3 linked regions of the Tribolium castaneum genome follow. The protein of the gene in region 2 purifies or fractionates together with the protein of the main gene of each other region. This does not show direct contact. Links are inferred from orthologs where the notes say so. Each region holds a gene or a part of one and is shown on either strand. Other genes may lie near its edges.

Evidence for each region. Proteins that work in one complex are often made in the same cells at the same time.
Region 1: the proteins of HDAC11 (region 2) and PAX3- and PAX7-binding protein 1 purify together in Homo sapiens (co-immunoprecipitation; 3 studies listed by BioGRID and IntAct, counting the BioPlex papers as one, with this or other methods). This does not show direct contact. The link is inferred for Tribolium castaneum from reciprocal best matches to the Homo sapiens genes HDAC11 and PAXBP1.
Region 3: the proteins of HDAC11 (region 2) and sip1 purify together in Homo sapiens (co-immunoprecipitation; 3 studies listed by BioGRID and IntAct, counting the BioPlex papers as one, with this or other methods). This does not show direct contact. The link is inferred for Tribolium castaneum from reciprocal best matches to the Homo sapiens genes HDAC11 and TFIP11.

Annotation. Positions count from the first base shown.
Region 1 is NC_087398.1:7,514,917-7,519,206, forward strand, and holds PAX3- and PAX7-binding protein 1, read right to left. Parts: upstream 2,801-4,290; 5' UTR 2,794-2,800; coding exon 502-2,793; 3' UTR 467-501; downstream 1-466. Other genes in the region: Hacd1 (very-long-chain (3R)-3-hydroxyacyl-CoA dehydratase hpo-8), read left to right, coding at 3,187-3,281, 3,642-3,989, 4,217-4,290. UniProt on the Homo sapiens protein: Adapter protein linking the transcription factors PAX3 and PAX7 to the histone methylation machinery and involved in myogenesis.
Region 2 is NC_087402.1:4,112,429-4,115,687, forward strand, and holds HDAC11 (histone deacetylase 11), read right to left. Parts: upstream 1,944-3,259; 5' UTR 1,703-1,943; coding exon 1,698-1,702; intron 1,650-1,697; coding exon 1,409-1,649; intron 1,363-1,408; coding exon 784-1,362; intron 733-783; coding exon 562-732; 3' UTR 540-561; downstream 1-539. Other genes in the region: RIB43A-like with coiled-coils protein 2, read left to right, coding at 244-350, 398-539; myosin-9, read left to right, coding at 2,504-2,532, 2,579-2,651, 2,704-2,988, 3,038-3,259. UniProt on the Homo sapiens protein: Responsible for the deacetylation of lysine residues on the N-terminal part of the core histones (H2A, H2B, H3 and H4).
Region 3 is NC_087402.1:11,583,656-11,587,750, forward strand, and holds the start of sip1 (sip1/TFIP11 interacting protein), read left to right. Parts: upstream 1-1,295; 5' UTR 1,296-1,406; coding exon 1,407-1,509; intron 1,510-1,585; coding exon 1,586-1,816; coding exon of another isoform or gene 1,817-1,861; coding exon 1,862-2,127; intron 2,128-4,095. UniProt on the Homo sapiens protein: Involved in pre-mRNA splicing, specifically in spliceosome disassembly during late-stage splicing events. Intron turnover seems to proceed through reactions in two lariat-intron associated complexes termed Intron Large (IL) and Intron Small (IS).

The DNA of each region.
Region 1 (4,290 bases), on a different chromosome or scaffold from region 2:
ATTGTTAGCATAATAAGAATGCGTAGTTAAACGAATAATGTTCCAAAAGTTATCTTGCATCTCATAACCGTAATTAAAAATGTCCGTTAAAATGCTAAAATTCTCGAAGCTTGCCACATCGTACTCGACGAAAATTTTTCTGTACATTTGCATTTGCACCCTGACGAACATTATGGCATTGTTCACCACATTGCTAAAAAATGTGCCAAATAAAACGATTTTGTTTGATTCGCAAAGTTCGGCTTTTTTGCACGGTGACTGAAATAACGTACATTTAATTTTTTGATGTACTTTGTTGAATACTGACCTGAATCAGAATAAATGCAAGTGAACAGAAAAACAAACGGAGCCATGTTATTAGTCTCATGAGTGAAATAATTGGTGTAGGACTAAAGACTCCCACAATGCTTTTCTACTTGTTATCTGTTAGTGATTAAGGTTTAATAAAAGAATCAACGAGTAGGTACATTAAAATTTCTTTTTATTATCACACAAAACCACTCAAGTGCGCAATGTTTTAAGAATATTGTTTAAAATATCAATACTTTCCAAATGTAGAGGATTATTCTTATCCAACTGCTGCGACAGGTTCAGCACACTCGAACTGAACATTTTCAACTCGGGAGTATTACCCTGCAGCCAAACCCTCGGCAAAATCAAACTAATTAAACTAACTTTGGACACGGCATCAGTCAGCAAACAAAACTTGACCGCACTCAACAAATACCTATTCAGGAGCGAATTCAGCGCCAGTTCTTTGAGCGTATTATCATTGAGCACACCTTGCCAACTCGTAATATTCTTCAGCAACTTTAATCCACTGGCGAACTGTCTCTGAAAAAAGGGCGACTTGCTCTCAATCAATTTGGGTGTAAGCGGAATGAAAACGTCATGTTCGAGGGCACACTTCATTTTGTGCAAAATGGCATTGAACAAATTATTCAACGCTTTACTCGCCGGCCCTAGTGTCGGAAACTTGCGAACGTAGCGAGTGATAATCCCCACCAGTTTCAACGTCTGTGAGCTGGACAAGGGGTCCCAACACCGGTCCACTAATTGTGTTAGCTTCGGAATGATTATTTTCTCGACTATTGTGGGGAGGAGGTTGATATCGGGGTCCTGGGCTAGAGTTGCCTCACTTTCGTCGTCGTGTAGGCCGTAGAGGGCCAACGTTCGGTACCAATCCAGTTTTTCGATGTCGACGGAGTCGTTCAACGGGTCCCAAAAAATCAAGTCGAGGCGTACAAGGGGGCTCACGACCTTAGGGAGGCACAGCGTGGCGTAAGCCTCGTTGTAGGCCGCCAAGTCGGTCTCCCGCCACTCCTCAAACTTGATCAAAATGTTCGCAACTGAGGAGTAGTCCTCGACCACGTCCTCAAAAACCTCCTGGATTTCCCCATCGAGTTGCTCGCGTTCCTTGTCAAAGTTTAGCATGTCTTGTTGCGAGATTTCATCGTCACTGGACATGCCTTCAACGTGCTTGGGTTGCCCCCCGATCTCGCGCGCCCTGCGCCTCCTGGTGCGCCGCCCCTCGCGCTCAGCCGCCCGCCGCACCTTTTCCTCATCTTCCGCCACCTTCTTCATCCCGGCCTTGTTGGTCGCCTCCTCAGCCTGGTCCCGCACGTCCTGTCTCCGGCGCTCAATCAGCCACTCGGAGCGCTTGGCCATTTGGTCCATAGCCCGTTGTTCCAGACTTGCAATCACGCCAACTTTCTCGTCCAGACATTCGACCAAATCGGTGATATAACCCCGAAGTTCTTGATAGAATTTGAATCGTTCAGCGGCGATTGGCGCTTTCGTCTTTAATTCCTCCAACTCTTTGGAAATTTGCTCAATGTCTTGCTGATTTTGTTGCAATTTGTTGATATTGGCCTCGCGTGACTCGCACACGTTCTGGTAGTGTTCGCGCAACTTATCGGCGATCATTTGCGGGGTCCGGGGGACCCCGGGGTCCATGGCTTGCACGGGGGCTGCCACAGCCGTAGGTTCGGGTTGGTAGTCAGTGTACAACAAATCGGAGGCGAGGGCGGAGGCCCCCGTGACCCCCTTCCTGATCTGTTGGTGCTCCCACTCGTCCACCTCCTGATCCGATTCCTGCGCCGCTAGAAACTGCTCCCGCCTCCGTTCCTGGTCCCTGAGGGCCAAATTCACGTCCATGTCGATTCGTTCGTCGTCGCTCCCCTCGTTATCATCCTCCCGCAACAAGCGCCCCTTGTCCTCGGGCTCCTCCTCCTCCACTGGGATGTAGTCCCCCATTTCGCGCGCCCGCTGGCGGCGCTTTCGCGCGGCGTGGATCATGGCGGCGTCGGGGATCGCCCCCGATTCCAAGACCTTCTTGAAGTTGTCCGGTTTGGAGAATTTGTGGGTGGTTGGGGCCTCGTCCTCGTCGGATAAATCGTCCTTTCCGGCACATAGGGCGTCACGGCCGCTCAGAATCAAGGGCGGGGCCGGTTTGTGGTTCACTACGAGGACCAAGTCGTCCGTTACGATCTCGGTCTTGACTTTGGGTTTGGGGTCTTTTTCGGGCTTGGTCTCTTTCTTCTTTTGGCGTTCTTTTTCGAACATTTTCATGACCTTTTTACTGTGTGAGGACTTTTTTACTTGGAATACTTCGCCTTCTTCCTCGGTTTCGAAGCTGAGGAGCGGCTGTTTCGGCTTGTGTTTGGATTTTTTCTTGTGGTCGCGGTCTTGAGGGGGCTGCGCCTCCACGTCCATGGGCTCGTCGTCGTCATCGTCGTTTTCGGTGAACACGCGCCGCTGGATTGTCTTTTTCGGTTTGCGGAATAAAGACATGCTTTGGAAAATTGTTTAACACGATTTGCAACTTTTGGAAAAGGATTATTGGTTATGTTAGTTTGCTGTCACGATGACGTTTTGTTGACGTTTCCAAACATAACCTCTTTTTACGCTTTCAATTTTCACAAATAAAAAATAAGTGGTGATAAATTGTAAATGTGTGTCTTTTGTGTGGTTTTATCGAATTCAAAAGTGTGATAAAGTTGGTTGCCTAACTAAGAGTTCAAAACTGGTCGTCCTTTATCTTTGGATCATTAAAGAAAAAGTGGGGGCACCGCGTCGATGACGCGACTTTTGGGGGTCATTCCATTGCCTCAGTTTAGTAGTTTGTAAGCCCGTTACATTTTTACTCCAGTGGCCAGATTTTGTGTTCACTACTACTTCTAAAAAATGGCCAATGCAAAACCATCAAATAAACCCAAAAAAGAGATTTCTGCCTTTGCTAAAACGTATTTAATTGGGTATAATTTCATAGAAACTATCGGGTAAGTGCTTAAAAATTCATTTAGTTTAAGTATCTCATTATTTAATTCATTGGAATTTTTTCTGGAAAAATTATCGAATTAACTTAATTACATACAAAAACCAGTCAGACAATCATAATTAATTAACAAAAATCGTTCATTCACTTGCTTACATCGTAATAAGCCGGTTTTATTAAAAAAACCGCTAATGAAAAGTAAAGGTTTTCTTTTTTTATTCGAAAAACATTCCACATTATTCATGCGATTCAGTCTATTGTACGAGTATTTTGTCGATTCATCAATTTATTTAGATGTAAACATACCTGGGTGAACTTTAACCCATCAGTCGATTATTTCCTTTGACTTTTTAACAATTTTTAGGTGGTCCTATCTCTTATACCTACTCGTTAGTTATCACTTATCGCCTTCTAAAAGCCAATCTCTCTACGACACGGTGAAATGGTCCTTAATTATTTTTCAAAACGCGGCCGTTTTGGAAGTGGTGCACACCCTTATACGCATAGTGCCTTCAAACCCGCTCATTACTGCCATGCAAGTTGCGTCCAGAGTGATAGTGGTTTGTGGCGTAATTTTAGCAACGAAAGCGGGCCGTGAGACCATTGGTCTACATTTAGCCCTTGCTGCGTGGTCCGTAACGGAAATAATTCGATACGGAAATTACACCTTAAATTTAACAGGGGGTGTCCCTTTTATTGTAACGTGGTTGAGGTAAGATTGTTTTCAAACAATACGATTTCCGCCCGCTGTTTGTGATAAAAGTTAAAACATACGCAGTTTGTTTTTTGTAGTTAAATACATATTGTTGACGTATGTAAAAAGATTAAAACATTTGTTTTCGGTGTTACATTAACTGCAGCGTGCAGCGAATTACAAAAACAAATTAATGCAATGTGTTTTTGCCCGAAAGACGCTAAAGATTTTATTCACCGTTTTAGATATACAACATTTATTGTTCTCTATCCAATCGGAGTAACTGGCGAGCTTTTGTGCATTTATGCTGCACAGAAGG
Region 2 (3,259 bases):
AAAAAATTAGAAGATGGATAAAGCCGTCTAAAAATGATAGGTATATACAACACTAGAGGAAAGTCTCTTCTGTCCCCCAAATGATTAATTTATCTTCAGGAGAAAATGCACGTCCTTCCCTTGGCACACAAACAGCAATTTTTCTAATTAGTTTAAGTGGACCGTCCCAATAATATTAACGTTCTTTAATAAAGATATTGGAAAGGGCCTCGGGGTGGGTTAATTTCCTTTTTAATTCTTTAGAAGCGCAAAGAGTTGGAAAAGCGGATGAATCGGGAATACGACGATTACATTAACGGAACGCAACGCACAATATCATTACTGGACAAAGAAGAAGCCCGGAAACAGAGGTTCGTGATTAAAATTTAAAAGGATGTAGCGAAATGTGTTTTTTCAGGGAAATGGTGAAAAGTTTAGCTGAGGAAAACCGAAAGTTGGCAGTGGAGCAAAAACAGCGTAAGGAGTTTTTGGAGAAAGTCGTTTATAAAAACACGCCAACGTCGGAATTCTACGACCAGTTTAATAAATCAACAAGATAATAAAAATGTGTTTTATTCAGTTTTAGTAGCGGAGTTGAGGGCCTGTTATTAGGCCCGAATCGTGTAGGTTTTTGATCGAAGTGGCAATAATTTTGGCCGATTTTTTCAAATAGCCGCCGCTGGTTAGCATGACGATTGGAATGTTCCGGGAACGGGCTTCCCGGAATACCAGTTCATCCCGTTCGATGATTCCCTGGAAAGTCAATCAGATAGTTTCATTGTTATGACAGTTATTAGTATCAACCTGGGGCGAGACTGATAAGCACCCCAAAGCGTCTCCTTTGAGAATATCCGTCCCGGCGTTGTAGACGATCAGCTGGGGGCAGAACTCGGCTAGCGCCTCGGTTAGGTTTTTTGCAACTTTGTCCAAATACTCGTCGTCTTCGGTAAAGTGTGCCAGTTCGACTTTTCGGGTGATGTACTCCTTGGCAAGTTTGTCGAACGGGTAAATCCCTTTGTTGTACACGTCTATGATGTAGACGTTGGGATTATCTTTAAAATCCCGCTGATATCCATTACCTTGATGAGCGTCTAAATCCACGATCATGACATTTTGAACGCTCCGAGGGTGATGATTAAACACGAAATGGATCAATAGTGTTATATCAGCATACACACAAAACCCACCACCTTTGCTACCGCAACAATGGTGAAAACCGCCCCCGATATTTATTGCCCAGCCACGTTCCAGAGCTAACTTTCCCGCCAAAACAGAACCGCCAGTCTGGAACCGCATCGGACGCAAATATCCCCTTTGAACCAAGTAATTTGGCACGAGACACAGCGGAAGCACTTCCGCTATCAGCGCTACGTTAAAACTACACTACAAGAAAAAAATTACCGCATGAAAAACCCCCAAAAATATTTACTTTCAGACTTTTCAAATACTTTTTAGTGTGCACCGTTAATAAGTCTTCAGTTGTTGCTTCATTTGGCACCGAAAGCGTTTCGTCGTTAACTAAACCACAACTTTTCAAATATTTATAAATATTGCCCCACTTGCCGGCGTCGAAAGGGTGCAATTTTTCCAACCCCAAAAAACGGACATTGTATTCCGGGCGATAAATAATCGGCCATTGTTCCGGTCCAATATCTACATACAATTTCGTACTGGAAAATTATTTGCTCAAGTGGCGCCAAAAATTGGGATTCACTCACTTCATATTTGGCGCTCAATTCAAATTTCGCGCCAAAATTATCGATCGCCACTGCACCAGATATTTGAAATTAGGTCGATCCCCGTAAACACAAACAAACCGCAACACTATTTACCCCCACATTTAACGAAAATCTTTCAAATATTTGCAAATAATCGCACAGTTACTAAAATAAACGGAAATAATTGTCATTTCACTCTTATTCGCCTTACAGCTGGTGCTAGTTCGGCGCGACCTTCGGCAGATGTCTCCCCAAAATTTTCAAAATTCAATAAGTTGCAAGCGTAAAAAAACACATTTCTTTTATTGTTTTGCAATCAGGCAATTTAAATGTAAGTGTAATCAATAAACAAGCAAAATTTTTAGTGTTTGAGGTAAAAAAAAAGCTTTCAGCGTGTAATTATTTTATTAAGATGTTTTTTACAAGTCGTTCAATTTAATACAGAAACAAAAATAGAACAGTGCAAAATACACCAGCAGCCTCTTCGCCTGGAATACCTTCTAGGTTTTTGCTCGGCGCTTCATTCGAAATTAGCGCCGACACTTATCGATCGTTCCACCTGTAAAATTAGACCGACTCCCCGTAAACACAAACAAATCGCCACATTATTTACACCCACATTTGGTCAAAATTCTTCGTTATTTGCAAATAATCGCACAATTATTGAAATAAACGTGAATAATCCTCATTTGACTGTTTTAATTTGTGCTCGTTTGGTGTGACCTTCGGCAGATGTCTCTGTCACATTTTCAAAATTTGAAATCCTTCAAAAAATGTCATCGTAATGGTTTTTTGGAGTTATTATTATGATAAGTTCAGGGGATATTAATATTCAGTAAGTTTGGAATAGATAAATAAGATACGAATTTATCGTTCTGTAGAAATTTCCAGTCACTTATTGAAAATTATGAGGCTGCTCTCAAGGAGGTGACCGGGGATTTGGACGACGTCCAAGTAACAAATTTGTGAATTTTTTCACAAAAGTGTGACTAAAACATGTTTTTAGGCCGAACAAAAAGCACTCAAGAGAGCCCTCCACGAAAATAGTCAATTGAGAGATGAATTAGGGCGAGTTTACGTCGATATAACTAAATGTGAAGTTGAACATACGTACAAAGAGAGCGATTTGGTTGAAAATTTGAAGAAACAACTGCACACTGTAATTGAAGAAAAAGAACAAGCGGTCAAATTATGGCAAAATGCCGCATCTACTGTTGAACTCCTTGAGTCAGAGCTGCGAATTTTTCACGAAAACACCGAAGGATTTATTCCGAAAAACCAACTCACACAAGTAAATAATAGTTTTTGTTAATTTCGTCAGGTACGAGATTTTTTTGTAGTTGAAAAATTCGTACGAAGCGAAATTAAATGAATTGCAAGACACAGTCGTTCGGACGAAAGTCAAATTAGAGGAAACAATTAATTTAAAGTCGAAGGAATTGCAAATTAAAGACAAGGAAATTATTGGAAGTCTCCAAAGTCAGGACAACACATTTAAAATAATAAAAAATCTCGAAGACGAAATTCTGAACCTCCAACAAAGACTCAACGACTCGAACGGA
Region 3 (4,095 bases), about 7.5 Mb from region 2:
GCCTTGCAAAAAGCAAGGTGAAACTAATGAACCTACTTGCTAATTTAATCAAAAGCAATTTTGAAAAATTCCTCTTATAAGCAGGTTTATTTGGAATGCTTTAACATTGTAGAATATAAAGAAAAATAGACAATTAAATGAACGTCTTATTTTAAAGTCAGACAAATCAGTTAAAGTCGGTAATACAATACAGTTTATAGAAAGCCTTGTTAAAATTTAATTTGTTGTTAAAAGTTAACAACGCGAATCGACCAATCAAATTTGTTCAATTTGATCACATGAACAGTTAATCACGCATTTAATTGCAAATTAACTTAATGACGCTTCCATAAACCCATCCTATAAATATTAAATATTTTATAATAACTACAAGTTTTATTTTGGAGATATAGAAATATTTCAAAGTAGTTCTGGTAGTTCTAAACGAAAGTTAATAGGGCTTAATTTTACAGAAATTATTAAAGTATTGTTCATCTGCAAGAATTGCAAGCTAAAAGTAGAAGTTTTAAATTAAAAACTTAATACATAGGAATAAAGATGATCCAAACAGTTTATCCAAAAAAAATAAAAAAATACTATTACTAGTTTGTGTTTTTATCAAAACGCTACGAATACAGTGGAAAATATAAAAAAATGTAAAGAAAAATGTAAGGGTGTAGAGAATTAAATTTCCTATTTAAGTCCGCACATATTTTCAATGGGTAAATTAAGGTGTAAATTAATTTTCCCCACCTGACCAGTGGTAAAATGAAAAACCGTGCCTTCAGCATCTTTATTCTTTATACTTCTTTAGGGCCTAAGCGGTTAAAAATAGTGATATTGTCCCGACCATTAAAAAAAATAAATTCTCTATACTTTATTCCTAACAATTTTCTTGTACCTTTAACCATGTTCATTGTGTAATGAAAAAAATGGAAGAAAATGTGAAATAAATTCTTTTTCTTGTTTTTTGTATAAATTTTAGTCATCAGTTTTTCTCAATCTATTACGAATGTAAAGCCCTACATTTCCGCATTTTTTCCAAGTAATAAGTGATTTGGTTAAATTAAAATTAATTTAAAACGTTTTGGCGCTTGTATCTATGGCCGAATAACTCTGGAAGCGCCCTCATTTTTCTCTGTCGTACTATATTTTTTGGGTACAGAAAATCGTGCGATTTTCTATCTTGTTTTGTCTCCCGATATAAACTCCTCCGTAACGTAAACATTACAGCTTCATAAACGATTACAAACGTAACGTACCTTAATAATTGTTATTTAAATAATCGTAGTAGAATCCCACTTGTGGGGAGCTTTTTCTCGACAGAGGGCGCTATCGCAAAGCGACCTGACGCAAAACATAACCTCTGCTTTTTTGCCACCCGAAATCGATTAATTTGTTGTAAAAGTGTGAAAAAACGTGTGAAAATGTCGGACGACGAGATGGAAAAGTTCGAAATAACGGATTACGATTTAAACAATGAGTTTTACCGTGGTAGAAAAAAGTTAAGCAAACACCAGCAGATTTATGGTAACAACTTGACTCCACATCTACTATCTACCCATTTAGGTGGAACAAACCCAAATTAACGACTAGTTCCGTGTAGGTATATGGGCAGACGACAGTGATAATGACGAAGAAGAGCGACCTTCGTTTAAATCACGAAAACCTAAAAATTATTCCGCCCCGATTGGTTTTGTTGCGGGGGGTGTCCAACAAGCGGGTAAAAAACCCGAAAATGTTAAAAAAGAAGACGAAAGTGATGAGGAAAAACCAACGACGAGTTTTAAACTTAAGGATAGCTCAAGTGATTCAGAGGATGAACGTCCAAGGCCAGGTGGGGGCACAAAATATCAAACTTTTTCCAATTTGAATATTTCAGGGTTCGGTGGGGTCCAAGAAAGTGGGGACATTGCAGGCCTACGTAACAAAACTCACTCGCAACCTATGCAAGGGGTGGGAAATTGGGAAAAACACACAAAGGGGATTGGGGCAAAGCTTCTATTACAGATGGGTTTTCAACCGGGGAAGGGGCTAGGGAAAGACTTACAAGGGATTTCAGCCCCGGTGGAGGCCCACTTGAGGAAGGGCCGGGGGGCTATTGGGGCCTACGGGCCAGAAAAATCCGCAAGCATTCCAAAGAAAAAGGTAAACAAAAATAATAATTAATAAATTGTTTTTAACTTATTTTTACCCTAAAAGGGCCGATTTCATAAACACATTTAAATCTTGATTTAAATTTAATCGACTTTGTCATAAACTCTGTTTCACAAGGTCTTAGGGCCACTTTCATAAACGAATTTAAAGAAGCATTAAATTAAATGTTTAGTATGTAAAATATACCTATTCTTATCCTTTTATTCGATTTTTATGAACAATTATTTCTTTATCGTTTTTTAAAATCTTTACATTTGGAGATAAGTCTTCTATCACTTTGAATGGTCCATTGATGAAAATTGCACTTAACTTCTCACCTGTTTCGTTTTTTATTAACACTAAATCGTTGGATTAACACTTTTATCATAGTTTATTTTCCTAGATACGAGATTTTTATGAGCGTCATGCAGTTCTTTGCAGTTTATACTTCATTTTTAGCACATAACCATTAAAATTATACAAAGGCACAATCTCATTGGTTAAATGAGGTAAGTTATATTTTTTCCTAAAAACTAATTCAAAGGGAGTGTATTTAGTTTCGGAATAAACTGTTGTATTAAAAGGAAAACCCGAAATGGTATCCAGAAGTTATTAATTGGAACTTTTGTTTTTGGTTAAAATTATTAAAAATGCACCAAGATTTTTATGTTTTTTCTCGATAGCTCCTTAACTCATCATAATAAGCGTAGATTTCAAATGAGTTATGTTTAAAATTTTGCAAACTTTGGTTCTCGTACATGGTAAAAATTCAGTACCTTTATCTGTCCTATTAACTCGAAATGAAATTTTCTACAAAAGCTCTTGCAACAGTTAGTGTGTTTCGTCGGTAAAGCATACGCTTCCACAAATTTTGTAAGTTCGCACTAAATTGCTAAAACGTCGAATTAAAAATTAATGCCCCTTTAAGTTTAAAGCGTGGAGGGAGAAGATTCAAGATTCTCCCTGCATTGTTCAAATCCACAATTTTCGCCTATTAATACAGGGTGTATCAAAAATACGTGTGTGAATTTTACCACATAAAAAAACTCATCAAATAAAACAACTTTTCTATACAGGGTGTAACGAAAAGATGTTCACAACAGTGAACAGTGAACAGTTCACAACAGTGAACCATAGATTCCCTGTCTTAAAATAGAGCGATTTAGGCCAACTTATTTCTATACCAAGTTGCACCGTTTAAAAGTTAGAGGGCGTCAAATTAAAAAAAAATCGTTTTTTTTATTTTAGTAACTTAATTGGAATAATCGAGTTTCATGAAATTTGGTACAAGTAATTTGTCATCGAAAATTGTTGATGCTAATACTAACAGCATGTTTTGAAATAAATGCTCAATAAAAAAAGTATTTGCTTTATTTCATTCACTTTGTTTTGAAAAAAACCTCGACGTCAAAGCAAATACTTGCTAAAAAAGCTTTTACTTCCATTATTACTCAATACTCATACATTTTAGAGCACTTATTTAAACACATTATTTAAACAATTTCTGTTAAAAAACGGCAAAGAGGGGCCAAATTACAAAACAGTATAAAATACTCGTTTCATTTTCATAAGGCCTTGAAGCACTCATTTTTGAAAATTCGTGCTTAAAGACTGGTCTTATGAAACTTGTTTTTTAATATACTATTTCTTTATTTGATATTAATGTTGTCACCCTTTTCATTTCAAGCTGAAAAATTACGAAATTAGACTAGTAATTAAAGAAATGAAATTGACTTCATTTAGCTTATTTTGCTCGATTTTAAATTTTGGCCAAAATTGTTGTTAAACTTAAATTTTTGGCTAGATTTTGCTAGAAAATTTTCGGGTGCTTTTGCACATTTTCCATCCAAAAATGCAATTATTTCGCAAAATTTCGTTAAAGTATACCGTAAAATAACCAAGATTGGCCGAAAATTGTCTTATTGTTGTTTTTTGGGTTTAAGTATGTTTTTTGACGTCAAAACCTAGCTTTTTGGATTA